2 linked regions of the Kluyveromyces lactis genome follow. The protein of the gene in region 2 binds, or shares a complex with, the protein of the main gene of each other region. Links are inferred from orthologs where the notes say so. Each region holds a gene or a part of one and is shown on either strand. Other genes may lie near its edges.

Region 1 (7,750 bases), on a different chromosome or scaffold from region 2:
AACAACTTGGCATCAAATTGAAATTGACATACCGAGAACCAACCCACATATTCCATTGTACCAATTCGAATCAGTTCATAATTCATTGAAACGGATATTGTATTTTTGGGCCATAAGACATCCTGCCAGTGGTTACGTACAGGGGATCAACGATCTAGTGACACCTTTTTTCCAAGTGTTTTTGTCCGAATACCTTTCACCATCGGCAAAGGATGACGTTTACAGTTTAGATCCGCTGACGTATTTGACTGCAGAGCAGTTGTCTGATGTAGAAGCGGATTGTTTCTGGTGTCTATCCAAACTCTTGGAACAAATCACAGATTATTTCATCCATGGTCAGCCTGGAATATTGAAACAAGTCAAACACCTCAGTCAGTTGGTGAAAAGAATAGATTGTGATTTATTCAGCCATTTCGAATCTGAGCACGTTGAATTCTTACAATTTAGTGTCAGATGGATGAACTGTTTGTTGATGAGAGAGTTCCAAATGTCAATGGTGATACGAATGTGGGATACATACCTCTCCGAGACTTCTTTGGAGACAAGCATAGTCTCAGAGGATCTCATGTCTGACGCATCGACTTCTCTGGATAGAAAGTCGAGAACATCGTCATCAGGGCCCTCATCTTCAGACTCCAGACAAACTACTCTCAGTGAATTTCATGTTTTCGTTTGTGCAGCTTTCCTAGTGAAATGGTCAGACGAATTAATGAAGATGGACTTCCAAGAGATAATTACATTCTTACAAAATCCACCGACAAAATCGTGGAAGGAATCTGATATAGAAATGTTACTAAGTGAAGCTTACATATGGCAGTCGTTGTACAAAGATGCTACTTCTCATTGGAGGTGATCTTTGAAGGGAGAATACTAAAATTTAATACTTTCACATATATCTAATATATAATGTAAACTGCCTGATTCAAACAACTGTATTGTGGAGAATGAATAACTAACAGCCCACCTGCAGGTTCCGTGAATCTTCTAGCATACTTCTCCTCGCATATCTCTTGCTTTTTTTCTCATCAGTAGCATCATTATTGTTTGCAGTGTCTGAAATTATTGTTAGCAAATAATTAATCAAAACTTAATCTCATCTCATCTCAATGAAGTTGCTGGTAGATAAGGTAGTCTCGACTGGCGGTTAAGGGGCTATTCCACGAGATATCGACATGTATAGAGCAAGGAGTCGTCGGAACAACGATGGTAGTGGCGTAAGAGGACCAAACAGTGCTTTGACCCAGTTTTTAAAGGAACAAGGTATTAGTGCTGAGAATATTAGAGATAGATGGTTAGAAGCTCAAAAGAAGGAAGCCGAACATCCACAAGAAACTCAGAAGGATGATTCTGAAACAGAATCTGATGAAGATCTTAAAGCAGGGGTAGCTGCAAAAAAACGGTCAAGAAAGCCCAGAGCTGTTAAGAAGCAGGAGTCGTCTTCTTCCGGAGAAAGTGATGATGATGAGGACGACGACGACGAAGATGACGATGACTACAAAGCAGAGGCGAGGCTTCGCCGGTTACGTGGTGCTGACCTAGAAGATTCTGATGAGGAAGAAGAAGTATTGCCGGTTTCTGATCGAAAGAAAAGGATGTTGACCTTGACTAATGGTAAGAAAACTTCTCCGCAACTAGCTAAGGCTCGCCATCAACAGAAGAAAACTAGAAGAAAGAAGGCTGCCAATCTTTTAGACAAGAAGGACTCACTCATTTCATCATTGCAGGATATATGTATTAAAGTTATCGGTAAATCTATTGTGGAATATAATGCACAATCGATGGTGGAACATATTAGAGATACTTTAGGTGGTGTATCTTTAGAAAACTTGAACAAACTAGCACAAGCTTTGACAAAAAATCGGGCCTTGAATGATGATACTTTACAGTTATTCTTGAACACCAGTTTAACTACTTTGACGTTTTATGACTGTTCAAAGTTGTCATATGAAGGCTACAAGAGACTTGCCATCTTTTCGCCGCATTTAGAGTCGCTTTCCTTACAGATGTGTGGACAGTTAAATAATGAAGCTCTCTTGTATCTAGCCGAAAAGCTACCAAACCTAAAAGAACTATACCTTGATGGACCGTTCTTAATTAATGAGGATACATGGGTTCAATTCTTCGAATTGCTAAAGGGTAGACTTACTGCTTTTCATGTTTCCAATACCCATAGATTCAATGATAATGCATTGTCAGCTATGCTTCGAAATTGTGGATCGTCCTTGGAATCTCTAGGTCTAGCAACTCTAGATACTGTGACAAATTACGCCCTATTACCGCAATATCTTAACTCTCCTAATTTCCACACTTTGATCTTGGAAGAGCCATCTAGAGAAACAGATATTAATGACGAGGTTATTATAAGTTTGTTAGGATCCATAGGCCAGAACCTTAGGAAGTTGTCGCTCAATAGATGCACTGGCTTGACTGATAGCTGTATAATTAATGGATTTTTACCATTTTTGTCTAACTCAGGGCAATCAATCCTTACAGACTTGGAATTAGAAGAATTGGATCAGATAACCACCGACGGCATAGTTCTATTATTCTCTTCGTTGCAGTTCCCTTTGTTGAAAAGATGTAGCTTGAAAAGATGTTTTGCTTTGGAGGATGCAGCCGTAGTTGAATTATTACTTAACTCCTCTTCCACCTTAGAAGAGTTGAATCTAAATGGTCTGAAATCCCTAACATCCAAAACTTTCACCTTCATGGCATGTCCTAACCTCAAGCAGCTAAATATAGGGTTTGTCCACTGTGTGGATAATGAAATTGTGGAAAAGATATCCAAGGACAATGAAAAGCTCACTATTATTGAAGTTTATGGTGATAATCAAGTCACAGGCAAATGCTCTCCTCGGAATGGTGTAAGCATTATCGGAAGGCAAAGTGACAGTATATAAATGATTAAAAAAATTCTAGGATCATGAAAATGCTTGAGTGTGAGAATGCCCTTTCAGCTACTACTTTAAATAATCTATAGACATGTAATCATCAAATTTAGGTTTCTGATGGATCTTTTCTAAATTTCTAAAAGTAGGCAAAGGTGCTGGATTGAGCTGCTTCGATGCAAGCGTCTCTATTATAGTATTTTTAATTTGAGGCTTATCAATGAACAATCCAGGATGACCGTTCGATCTATACTTTTCTGATTTATACCAGTCCTTGGTTAGCTTGGCGTTCGGCCTCCATGTTGGGTTGTTGATTTTGAACCTATTGTGAACTATTGGGTCAAACCCAAAACGGGATTGCGATAAATTGGTTTCGTACTCGGAATAATCTGCATTGATTAGATAAAACCCTTGGAAATCTCGTACGATATCATTGATAACTTTTGTTGGTAATACGATCTCAGTGCCTAATTGATCGACAAACTTTGTTAATCTGGCGATATTTTTTTGAGTCTTTTCAAACTTGTAGTAAGTCAACCAAAATAAGACTGAAGTCTTGATCGGATCCAATTTGGCGAAGTATGTAAAGTGTTTCCTGCATTGAATGACGTTCTTCAATACCAGCCAATGCACTTTTATTAGTTCAACTACCAGTATCGGAAGAGTAGTGTCATTTAGCATGGCAAGCAACTGCTGGGAAATGTCGTGATTTTCCGTATCTGCATTCCCTGATAGGTACGCCTTGATAGTTTTATCCAAAAATGTAGCATATTTACTCTGTTGTTCCAAGATCTTTTTGTCTTCATCATTCAAAGATGCTGCAAAATATCTTCTCTTGTGAAACCTTAAATATTTAATAGTTGAACTTGGATCATGTGGCCATTTAAGCTGGAACGTGTATAGAGCGTCCATATAGTGTTTGGAAGATAATTTATTATATGGATCCATATTACTTTCCAAATATTTGATGTATTTTTGCTTGAAAGATTTATTATCAGCAGGAAGAGCCCGGAGTGCTCTTTCAAACAAGGGGAACGTACATTCGGGACCAAAAGTCCTTTCAGTCCAGTCAATATAGGCTCCCCAGAAATATTCGTATCTTAAACATGGAATCAAACATCTCTCAAACGTCGATTTTATTAATTCTGTACTGAACTCAGTGTTGTTGATTAAGAAAGATAGATAAGCATCCCAATTCTGAATCTCATTCTCGGGAAGCTCAGGGATATTGAAAAATGGCTGTTTTATTTGTGATTCATATGTCCATATTTTGTTCACCTTCTCCTGGTTAGAAATAAATGTGGTATCCAAATGGATGCTTGATTCCCTATTAGCAAACTCTGGGTGATATTCCAAGAATTCCTTAAAGCTGGTGTAGTATCTTGCATATTGATGCAAAGGTTGCTGCATGACTTGTTTGTACACCTCAAATACGTTTTCCCAGTTCTGTAGTCTTGTTTCATATGCAATGTGCTTATCCCAAATATCGTGCGAGAGGAAATGAGATCCCACGAGGGATTCGCATTTCCTGAACTGGTTTCGTATCAGTTCACTATCATTCTGATTATGTGTTAGATAAACGTTCAACATATCAATCCAAAGATCTATCGACGTAGGGAACGAATGTAAAGATGCCTTTAAAGTAGAAATAGACCCTTCTAATCCATCTAGCTGATATTTCACCGCAACGTATCGTTTCCAGTAACCAAAAAATAACGGATACCTTCCCAATAACTCATCAAAAACTTTATATATATTGCTCTTCACATGTTCATTGGGATTATTGTATTTCTGTACCAATGCTTCTGTACCAACCACCAGTTTGTCGATAGTAGTTATATCGTTCCAGTCAACAGAATTATAACTCTGCACCCATTCATCGTTATTCTTCAGAAAAGTTTGGTCTAATCCTTCAAACATTTCATAAAATCCCTAGTTTCCTTCTTAAATTTGATATGCAAACCCCTGCTGCCGACTTCACACTCAAAACGGCTCACGGATAGCAGCTAAAGGCTCTTGTTCTGTTTGGTGGCATCATGCATCTTTAACAGAGATTTATCTTAAAGAATTACAATAATACGGTTCTTTGCAATTTTGAATCATTTTGGAAGCATGAAAGAAAAACAAACAGAGATAAACGCGCCTAAATGAGTGTTTAAAAGGTAATTATTAACTTAGTCGAATTCTGGGAATCTCAGTGTTTTATAGGAGTGCTCGAAATGCAGAATTGGCGTCTCAACAGCGGTTTAAACAGCAATTAATATAGTATCACGTCTCACGAATATGATTATTTTGTTTAAGGTTAATAGATACATCAATGACGGAAGCATTAAAGGTATGTTCGAGATGTAAACAAAGGAATAAACAAGGGAAAAGACCAGGGACAATCTTCGATTATCGATGTCTATACGTCCAGTTGTACTGGATGATGTCGGAGAAACATCATTTGAAGATGTTGAAAGCACATTTACTTATAAAGATGATATAGAGGTACCGAGATTGGCACCTAATTCAGCTACATCCACAACTACGGAAAATACCACATTCTCTAAGGATAAGAGGTATTCATCACACACGGAACTGGCGAGCGATCTTGATGATGATATGAACTATAACAGTGATTTTGAAGAGTACCAAAATGGTACAGACCTACCTCTTGCTGTGGATAGACGATTTAGGGAAAGTTCGGATCAGGACGAGCTAGCTGATTTGCAAGAACAACTGGAGAAGAAGCTATCATTGAACCTGAGAAATTCTAAGACCGGTGGTGGTAGTGGTACTAGAAATGTGGATCAATATATAAACCATGCGGGACTAGTGCGGCCATCGTTGAAGGATTCGGTACGACAGCGTAGATCGATGGTCGATTTGGCAACCCGTAGTAAAGGTAATATTACAAGCTTGAATTCACAGCAATCGCGTCGAGTACCGAACAGCAGGTCTTATATGAACCTTAGACCCAGTTCTGGTCGAACTCTCAGTTATAAGTCATCTATGCCATCGTTAATGAGGTTCAACCGTCAAGATGTGTTACTTGAGGACGAAGATGACGAAGATGACGATGAAGATGAAGATGATGAACCCTATCCATATGTGCCCAGAGTTAGAAGGAGTTACAGGGATCTTGGACCAAGGTTTGGTGAAAGAACTGATGACGGTAACGTTGTCCAAGACATTGCTGTTGAGGCTACAGAAATGGCTAATAATGGAGACGACGATGACGATAATTTCGGTAATGATTTTGAAGGAATTGACGATAACTTCCAGTTCGCTACTAATAACAACAATAACTTTTCAGCATTTGATCCAACATTACGTTTATCACCCTCAGAGTATGATATCGAACATGATGACACTTTATTAACACCACAGCTGCATAAGAAGCATTATGCGTTCGACGCTCCGTTGGATTCGTATAGGGAAGCTCGTCAACAACGGGGTACGGCAAAACAGGCCGCTGCTGCTGCTGCTGTTAACAGACGTAATTCTACAAGAGCTCGTGCTCGTTTAAAGACAATAAGACAAGAAATTGATCTCAACACGCCGTTGAAAAGAGGTAAGATGAAATACAACCCAAGGGAGAAACGATGGGATGGTAATGAGGATATTTTAAGCAGTTTCGATAACATTGAAAATGTCGATCGGAAAGCGTTTATCATCAAGAACAAAAGGTCAAAGTCTCCGTTGAAGACTTCGTCCTCTACTCAAATAGCGGCATCAGGGACGAATGCGGCCTCCTCAAATTCTCAGCATGGGAAGGTCGTGGGAAAAATGAGATTTGATGAAAAGAACCTAAGATGGCTACGAGTTGATGGTACTGAAGAAGATCCGTTTCATGGTATCACAGACTTGATGCCAAGATCTCAATCTTCACCTACCAAGAACGTCAAATTCCAATCACAAGGACATTCTGGTAACATTCTTCGATCACAGTCTCAACTGCCGTTCGGAAGAGATGAGCATGGAAATAGATTTATCTCTTCAGAATCCACACGATTCCACTCTTTGACTACAAACTCAACCACAGATCCTACGTACCAAATTACAAGCAAACAATTAGAGAAGTTTTACCATGAAGAGAATAAATGGAGCAGGAAGGTAGGTGGATGGTTCATTCTTGGTGATAAATCTAGAGACACTGGTTCCGCAGACCAGTCACATACCAGTTTAAATGACAAATCATACATGTACGAAATCAGGAATATGGTTATCTCATCAGCGCGTAACTGATTCTGAATCAGTGTCCTGACATGTGTCACCTACTATAGCATTTAATTTATTCAGAGACAATAACTATACATATAAAAAATCATCTTTTATGATAGAACGGAATAATCTCTCTAACATAACATCTAGGTCATTCTATGTTACAAAGCCTATCGCACTACATATTCGGCACTGATTTCCTTAATATAGTCCCTTTAAAACCATCGGTTTTTGTTCAGAATTCGATTATAGATCACGGTCAAAGAATCTTTTTATAGGAAATCAACATTTCCTTATATAACAACATTAGTTTTAAGATGAAACACGAAAGTAAATAACAACAGTTGGAGGTTTAGAATAGTCTATTTGGTACTTAAGAGACATTATATTGGTGGTATCATTGTATCCCATATCAGAATCAATTTTGGAGCTCCCAATCAGTATCTTTTTGTTTTATCTATGGTATATGATTCACTTTGAGATTATTTATAGATACTTGCAAAGACTGATCTGTTTAGTCGAATAACCTGAGTGCATTCCCTCTTCTAATATGTTTGATAATGATAGAAAGTTGGATCTTAACTCTAAGACCTTTGATGTGCTTGATCTCGAGCTGTTCAAGAACTATAGATTCAAAACTGTGGTGAGTTATGTGT
Region 2 (8,350 bases):
CCACCAAGCTCAGATGAAAAAGAAATTATCGTTTGCTGATTATAAGAAAAAAATCAAACCTGCTTAACGGATGACTTCCTTGGTATCGAAACCTTCATTAGCACGCAAACTTTTTTTTCAGTTCGGGATGTACCTATAGGTAGTCAGCGGTGGTAATAAACGGGGAGAGTGTACTTAACAATTTAGCCTCCTTCTCATAAAATGAACTTTTTTTTGCGAGTTATTTAGGAATTTGGACGGTGGGTTCGATTTGCTTTATCGATATATGTTGGAAAACTAGTCTATACTTTTCTATTATTTATTTACATTGTTTATAATTAACCAAGAACTGACTACTTCTTAGGTATTCTCTCAGAAAAGCGTATTTGCCTTAGATAAATGCTTTTCTCTTTTGTTGAGTAAGGGTTGGGATAAAACATCCCAACCTTTGAGAATTTCAAGTTCTTCTTGCATAGTTTTCTTGTATTGAAAGTTTTCCAAAATGGGTTCCAACTCGAATAGAGCTGGAGTAGCTTTAGAGGACTTCTTAGAACCAGATCTTAACCCAGATTTTAAAACTCTACCTTGTCTCCAAGAATCTGTCCAATAGATGGCTGCAGCATTCTCGTTTGTCATTCCTACTTGCTTTTTGAGGCCACTCAACAAAATGTCAATGTTGTTAGTAGGGGTTGTAGTGTAGTGTGTGTAGAATTGATATTTTCCCTGTAGGTTCAAAAGATACAACAGAAAATCTGCTTGAATCACAGGGTCCACTAGATTGTTTTTAACGCACCCACATAAACTGAGTGATAGCATTCTTTGCTTGCTCATTGCTTTGGCAGGTAAAGATATTCCAGGCGTATCATATAGAAACAACCCTCCTTTATAATCACTGATTCTGATACATTCACTAGTGTTCCTGGTGACACCTGCCTGATCACCTGTCTTCGCAACCTTCTTGGGTTTGCTTCCATCCGAATGATCCAAGCCTGCATATCCAGTAAATCTTAAACTATTAACGAGTGTTGATTTCCCAACATTAGGCATGCCGCCAATTAGCATTCTATAACCCAGTGGTAGTCCCACAGTCTTCTTCCCCGGATCATTTTTCTGGAGAAACTTATCATACTTCCATTTTAATATATGTAAGAGATCTTTAGCGCCCTTTTTGCTTCTTCCATCTATCATGATATATTGTTCGTCCATTTCCTTATGCCATTTATTTAATGATGCAATAATAGCAGGATCGCATTGATCAGTTTTGGTGTAAACTACTAGTCTGTCAACTTTCTTTTCTAAGGACAAGTAATCGAATATGAGGTTCCTAGTGGCTATTGGAGCCCGGCTGTCTCGAAGTTCAACTAGAAGATTAAGCTGAGGAAGGAGATTTTGAGCTCTTTGTATAGCTTTCTTTTGATGTCCTTTGAAGTCACTTGTTGGTATATTGAAATCTGGGAATACCATTCTTGGTACAAATGTAGACTGCAGCCGTCTACCTGAGTATTTGACACATTTTACCGAAACGTTCATATCTTCCAATACAGTAAGTTTGTGAACAACTATTACAGTTAATGGAGTTGTCGTTAATGTTTATGACAAAGAAGTAATCAGTAGTTTGTCAACTTTCTTTTGGTGAATCATGATAGGTGATCATTAAAGCTTCTTTCAACATGAGAATTACTTTTTACTGCGTTCAGAACAAGAACTTTGAAAATACTCGATGAGCTCATGAAAAGAGGAAAAACTCAATCATTGTTTCAGACTTTGCAGCAACGTCTAGTGAACTTAGAACCTCTTGACTGTACAGCAATGCCCTTGGTTTTACTAACTGGTTTTCCGAGTAGCGGTAAAACAACTGTGGCCAAGAAACTCGTCACGTTACTACAGGAAACTATCGATTCCAACGATAAACTGTCAAACTATTCTGTTGTATACCATTCAGATGAAACCTTAAACATATCTCACGATGATTATATTGGGTCAAATGAAGAAAGAAGGGCAAGATCTAAGATTATGTCTGTGGTGAAGAGAGATCTTTCTCGTCAGAAAGTCGTCATTGTTGATTCGTTGAATTACATAAAAGGATTCCGGTATCAATTGCACTGTGAAGTGAAAAACGTGATGACAACGTATTGTTTGATCCACACGGTATGCCCAATGAGCAACTTGGTTGAATGGAATGAGAAAGAGACTGATTTGCATAAACCTTGGGAAAGCAATTTTTTGAATGCTCTTATTCAAAGGTATGAAGAACCAAACCCTCAAACAAGGTGGGATTCTCCATTATTCACTATATTGACGTCTCAAGATGACATCAGTACCCTATACACAGATATTAGTAAGGCAATATTCCCAACCGTGTTCAAACCGGCAACGAATGATAGAGATACTGAGAAGATCCTGCAACAATTAAAGCCAAACAATGCCACGATATTGAAGGCTGCCTCTCACACTAACTCTTTGCAAATACTTGACTCCGAGGCCAGTAGTGTCATAAAGATTATAATGAAATATATGCAGCAAAATGTGGTCAGTGGTGGCACTTCAAGAATAATTCTTACTCCTGAGAATACTGATTTAAACGATCCAAACTGTCTTTATGTCGATCTCTCACTACAAAATTGCTCCATGCCTCAATTACAAAGAATAAAACGTCAATTTGTTGCAATGAATAGATTAAGAAACTTAGAGCAAGATAGAGTAAAACCGTTATTCGTTGAATATTTGAACAAACATTTGAATGTCTGAATTCTTCAACTCATGGCAACACTTAAAGCGCTTTGATCGACATAATCTTTCACATGAACACTTATCTCACATTAAAATAATGAAGGAAATTTCCTTCCAGAATAATATCATATCTGTCTATAAACTATTTACAGCTTTAGTAGCTTCTTAATATTGGTATGACTACCATCCACCCGGTCAAGTAACTTCGATAGTGACGCTTTTAAGTCATCACTTATCACCAATTTACTTCTATGAATCCATAACAAATGACCATTATCCACTATATCTGATAAAATGACTTTGTCATTCTTGTTTAATAATGATTTTATGAAGAAATCCCATACGTTACTATCGACAGCACTCTCACACAAGCATTGTTTCCAAAATTTAAACAAAGTCGGCCAGTTTTCACTTTCTACCAAAGTCGTTATTATTTCTTTTATCACGTCATTTGTTAATGATCTTACCTCAAATTCATTTGTGATGAGATTGACATACTCGTAAAGTGAGTTAAGGTTAGTGTTTTCGGTATGCATTGACTTAACTAAAAGTTTGATGACCCTGGGATCATGGACAACCTTAGGATCACTATATTGATATGACTGTAAGGCCTTGAGAATCCACATATTCACACTTATCAGCTGGTTATAGCTTTTCGAAAGTTTGAGATGTTGAATGCAAATTTCAAGAAAGCCAATTAACTCCTCTCTTGTCGGCTGACATAATGCCAATTGCTTAAACCTAAAAAAATCATTGATGAAATAGTTTAGTTCTCTGTTAAACTCTTTGATTGTACTGGCATCTAACTGAGTATTTTCTTCTATGTTATTTCTTTTGGAAATGTAAAGTAACTGGAAAAACTTGAACCTTGCACCCCAGTACTCATAGTCTAACGGACCTTCGGTTGGTGTGGCTTCATTAAATAGCTTTATCCAATTTTCGGCATCAAGTTCTATATGGTTTGGTAAACGTCCGAGAGCAGATGCTATAACATGGTAAGGCTTTTTTTCTTCTTTTATCAGTTTTGAAGCGGAATCTAGGTCCTGGATTGTAAGAGCTTCCAAGAACGTTGGTTTCGGAGATTCTCCCACGGTAGAATAGTATCTTTTCGTATTTTTCATCATCAACTTTCTTAATCCAAGTAAAACATCATCCTCTTCTTCCGCTGGTGGGTTTAAATTGATTTGCTTCTTGTACTGGTCAAGCTCCTCAACACGACAATACAACTCCTCCAAATTCAAATCATCTCTTCTTTCCTCAGTCATTATATTGATAAACAGCCCATCAACGTTAGAATCTATCAAACACCAGCCACTTTCATCATTCTCTATCTTGGCTATTTTGCCCAAATTAGTTTTCCTGCCTAGACGCCTTTGTCTCTTTCTTAGTATACCACTGGTGACCAAACCTTCCGATTTGGGTACTTCATCAAACGTTTCTTTAATAAACTTTATTAGCTCATCATTACAGTTTTGAAGGTGTCTAAATGATTTCACAGTACCAATTAAAACATAGCTAGCCATGCTTTGAATTGAAGTGGCAGAACTGGAGTGGGCAGTGTCGAAAACCACAATGTCCGTTACTGCCAACTTATCATTTAGATATTTTGAAATGGTTTCTAGTGAAGCAGGAATTTCTGTAGGAGGAAACCGTATGGGTTTAATGAAAGGAGAATTTGAATCTTCCTCCTTATTCTCTGATATGTCCAAATACCACGGCTTGCTCTGTCTTAAGGAGTGTCTGGTGGTAAAATTTCGAATGAATAAGGTAGAACCCGGTCTATAACAAAGACGAGCCACATTGTTGCGAAGAAGTACTGCGTAGGATCTATGCATGGTTAAACTAATAGACAAGCTCAACTTCTCGAAACCGTATGAATCCAGGTAACTGGTTAAATGTATGTTCCTGAATTTTTATTATAATTGTGGAGCTTCTGCAGATCGTTGAATAGGAACCAGTTAATGTTCATATATTTTTTTTTTCCATCATAAAAGTTACACATAAGATAATATTATATATAGTTACAATTTTACAATTTTTCAGTAAATATGAAAAGAGAGGAATGTGTCATGAGGGTGTATTAAATTTGTTGGTTATTGTCCTCTTAGTTCCGGCTGAATATTTTCATCAGGAATATCGTCTTTCTTGAGATTATTATCGGAGACATTTTCCTCGGCTTCAACTTCCTTCAAATGAGATGACAACAACCTTAGCTGCTCCGCCATGTCGTCATGAGGTGATAATTGTTTATGGCCAGTGACTAAATCGACATCGACGTTCACGTCAGAATCAACACTTTGATTTGACAGGATATCTCTGGTAGCCATTTTAAGAGCTTCCGCGACTCTGTCTCTTTCTCTTCTGTGGAGCTGTCTCTTGGAATCGGGTACACCGACGTCTAAACTTTCATCGTCTTGCACTTGTTCTAGCGTACGTTTCAGATCCTCGGTATCGTGGTTTTCTCTAGACTGCAGAGCCGCTGCAGCGGCAGCTGCAGCAGCTGCGACACGTACGTTAGTGTCATCCAGATTATGTATAGCGGAATCATCATTATCACTGATCGAACCAATTCTGTTCTGATATACATTATGTCCACTATCAACATGTGATTGGTGTTGTTCCTGGTGTTGTAGTTGTTGCTGTTGCTGTTGGTGATGATGCTGAACGTCGCGTTGTTGACCTTCGGGTAGTTGGTGTTGGTGGTGAGCTGGTATCGATGGATGATGATGGTGTTGTACTTGATGGTGGTCACCGCCAGTCAATTGATGAGCGGTGGGCATTGCGTATACGCCATCCTTCTTTCTTTTCAAGACGAATCTGGCCTTATACGTGGTAACACGTCTAGCGATGTTACTTAACATTTTCTTATCCATTTCAGCTTCGGTCAACCCGTACCGTTGCTTGATGATATCGAGAATCCCGGATTCTTCCACGTACTGTGCCACTCTAAACTTTGCCACTGTATTATCGTCATCGTTACACAACGACTCTAGAATAGCGTCGAATTTGAGATCAACTTGTAAAATCTTTGGAATTTTACTCAAGACAAACCGTTGCAAAGAAAGGTTTGATTCCAACGGATGGTTATGATAAGGTTCAATCTTGGTTACCACGAAGGGACCCTTGATAGTCTCCTGAGAGTCTGCAACTGCTGCAACTGCCGCTGCGATAGCAGCAGTCACAGCCGCATCATCATCCTCATCATCGTCCTCATCCTCCGCTCTACCATCTTCGGCCAAATTCGTATGACCATTATGGTGATTCGAACCAGACGACGAAGAACCACCATCGCCACTTAAACCATGCGGAGAACCATCCTCAGACGAACCAGAATTGTTGGCGCCCTGATACGACAACAAAATCTTGAACGGACAACTTTTCAAATGGCACGCGAAAGTGAAATGTTTATTCTTATGTGAATTCTTCAAAATAATAGGACATCTCGATTGAAACTCATAATCGTTAATTACATCGTACCACGCCTCTAACGTGGGGAAAGACCGTTTCTGCGCACTCACAGGATCTGGCGCAGCCAGATCCTTATTGATGATCGGGTGCTTGTATTCATATAACGACATCGCTGGATTCGAAACTCGCCAATTCACGCACAAAAAGGTATACCTTTTCTGAAGCTCTCTGTTATCTTTTAAATAATCCTCTTCGTCACCCAGTGCACTGCACTCGCTCCGTTTACTCTCTGCCCTATCTCACTTAGCCGCCGTGCCTTCACAGAATAGGTACGTTCTTACGGTATTATTTCGTTTATACCAATCGACGAAACAATGAACCTTTCGCCTAAATCCTTGGGCCTGCCGGCTTCCCTTTCGTGATTGTTGACACTTTCATCTCAAATCCTGTTCGTTCGTTGTTATATTTTTTTTTTTTTCATTTTTTTTCCATGTGGACTGACCCACTTGAAGGCGTTGGTGAGGTTACCCTGGATATTAGTACGCTGATTCCGGGTAACACATATTTCAGTGAAGAATGATAAATGGTTGCACGTGATAGTGATTATGAAATGAGTGTCACGTGATATATTATAATTATTATCATTATTTTCTTCTCTCTGCTTTTTCGCTCCAGCGTCCATTGAGACGTATAATGGATAGTGAAAAATTACAGGCCATCAGCAAGGGACGCGTCTTGTCAGCTTTAATAAAGTGGTAGTATACCTCAAACTTCTGAATATAATTGAACAACTACAGCCTCTGTAAAAAAGGCCGGTATTTTTTTCAAACCAGTTATCATGGGTATCAAAAATTTAGCTACACTTATTTCTGAGCAAGTACCGAATGCTATTAAGAGCAGAGATATAAAGTATTTCCATGGAAGAAAAGTAGCCATCGATGCCTCGATGTCTCTTTATCAATTTCTCATTGCTGTGAGACAGCAGGATGGGGTTCAGCTCGCTGGTGAAGATGGAGAAACGACGTCGCATCTTATGGGTATGTTCTACCGTACGTTGCGCATGATTGATCATGGAATAAAACCATGTTATGTGTTCGATGGAAGTCCACCAGAACTTAAGAAATACGAATTGGATAAACGTAAGGTGAGACGTGAGGATACCGAGGCTAAGTTGAAAGAAGCCACGGAACAGGCAGAAATTATCAAACATGAAAGAAGACTCGTGAAAGTTTTGCCATGGCATAATGAGGAAGCTCAGAAGTTGTTATCTCTTATGGGTATTCCTTACGTTGTGGCACCTGCAGAAGCTGAGGCGCAATGTGCAGAGCTTGCTAAATCAGGGAAAGTGTTTGCAGCTGCCAGTGAAGATATGGATACATTATGCTATCAAACGCCAGTTTTATTGAGACATTTGACTTTCAGTGAGGCCAGAAAACTTCCAATCCAAGAATTTGACACTGATGTGATTTACAACACTTTGGACTTGACTCAGACGCAATTCATTGATTTAGGTATCATTCTAGGGTGTGATTATTGTGAAGGAATCAAGGGTGTAGGCCCTGTCAATGCATTGAAATTGATTAAAGAACACGGTTCCCTGGAAGCCATCGTAGAGAAATTCGAAAATGGAGACATCAGTAGTGGCAGATGGAAAATCCCTGAAGGTTGGCAATTCAAAGAAGCGCGTGATTTATTCATGCAACCAGATGTTATTCCAAGTGAGGAAGTGACGTTGAAATGGGAGGAACCTAAAGCCGAGGAATTGATTGAATTTATGGTTAAAGAAAAAGGGTTCAATGAAGACAGAATTAAATCAGGTATTGAAAGATTACGCAAGGGTTTGAAAGTCGGCGTACAGAAAAGACTTGACTCATTCTTCAAAATTCAACCGAAAACTAAGGAAGAGCTAGCAACCGCTGCTAAAAAGGCAAAGGATGCAAAGAAAAAGGCTGCTGCTAAAGGTAAGATTGCCAAGAGACGTTAAGTTTTATTGTTTTATCTTAGGTTAGACTGTTTACATTACATTACCATCAATTACATAGTTAATTCAAAATCATTGAAAAGTTATAGTAAAAAGGAACTGAAAATTATTCCAGTTCGTCAGACGTTCATTAACCGATAATATAAATAAATATGGGATGATATTCCTCTAACCATGTATAACTAGCAAGGTAAGTGGTTTATTCCAACTGATAACATACATTTGTCCATAAATGTGTATCATATACATATA

The links. The genes of interacting proteins can lie anywhere in the genome.
Region 1: ABF1 (region 2) and RAD7 share a complex: the UniProt entries of both Saccharomyces cerevisiae proteins name them as parts of the global genome repair (GGR) complex. The link is inferred for Kluyveromyces lactis from reciprocal best matches to the Saccharomyces cerevisiae genes ABF1 and RAD7.

The regions. Positions count from the first base shown.
Region 1 is NC_006037.1:710,059-717,808, forward strand, and holds RAD7 (UV-damaged DNA-binding protein RAD7), read left to right. Parts: upstream 1-1,172; coding exon 1,173-2,900; downstream 2,901-7,750. Other genes in the region: GTPase-activating protein GYP1, read left to right, coding at 1-853; PRP39 (Prp39p), read right to left, coding at 2,961-4,808; BFA1 (Bfa1p), read left to right, coding at 5,289-7,118; pheromone-regulated K(+) transporter PRM6, read left to right, coding at 7,645-7,750. UniProt on the Saccharomyces cerevisiae protein: Component of the global genome repair (GGR) complex which promotes global genome nucleotide excision repair (GG-NER) which removes DNA damage from nontranscribing DNA.
Region 2 is NC_006042.1:271,486-279,835, forward strand, and holds ABF1 (DNA-binding protein ABF1), read right to left. Parts: upstream 6,288-8,350; coding exon 4,803-6,287; downstream 1-4,802. Other genes in the region: KLLA0_F02882g (uncharacterized protein), read left to right, coding at 1-67; putative GTPase MTG1, read right to left, coding at 352-1,509; KTI12 (Kti12p), read left to right, coding at 1,708-2,727; ATP25 (Atp25p), read right to left, coding at 2,856-4,544; multifunctional nuclease RAD27, read left to right, coding at 6,956-8,101. UniProt on the Saccharomyces cerevisiae protein: General regulatory factor (GRF) that contributes to transcriptional activation of a large number of genes, as well as to DNA replication, silencing and telomere structure. Involved in the transcription activation of a subset of ribosomal protein genes.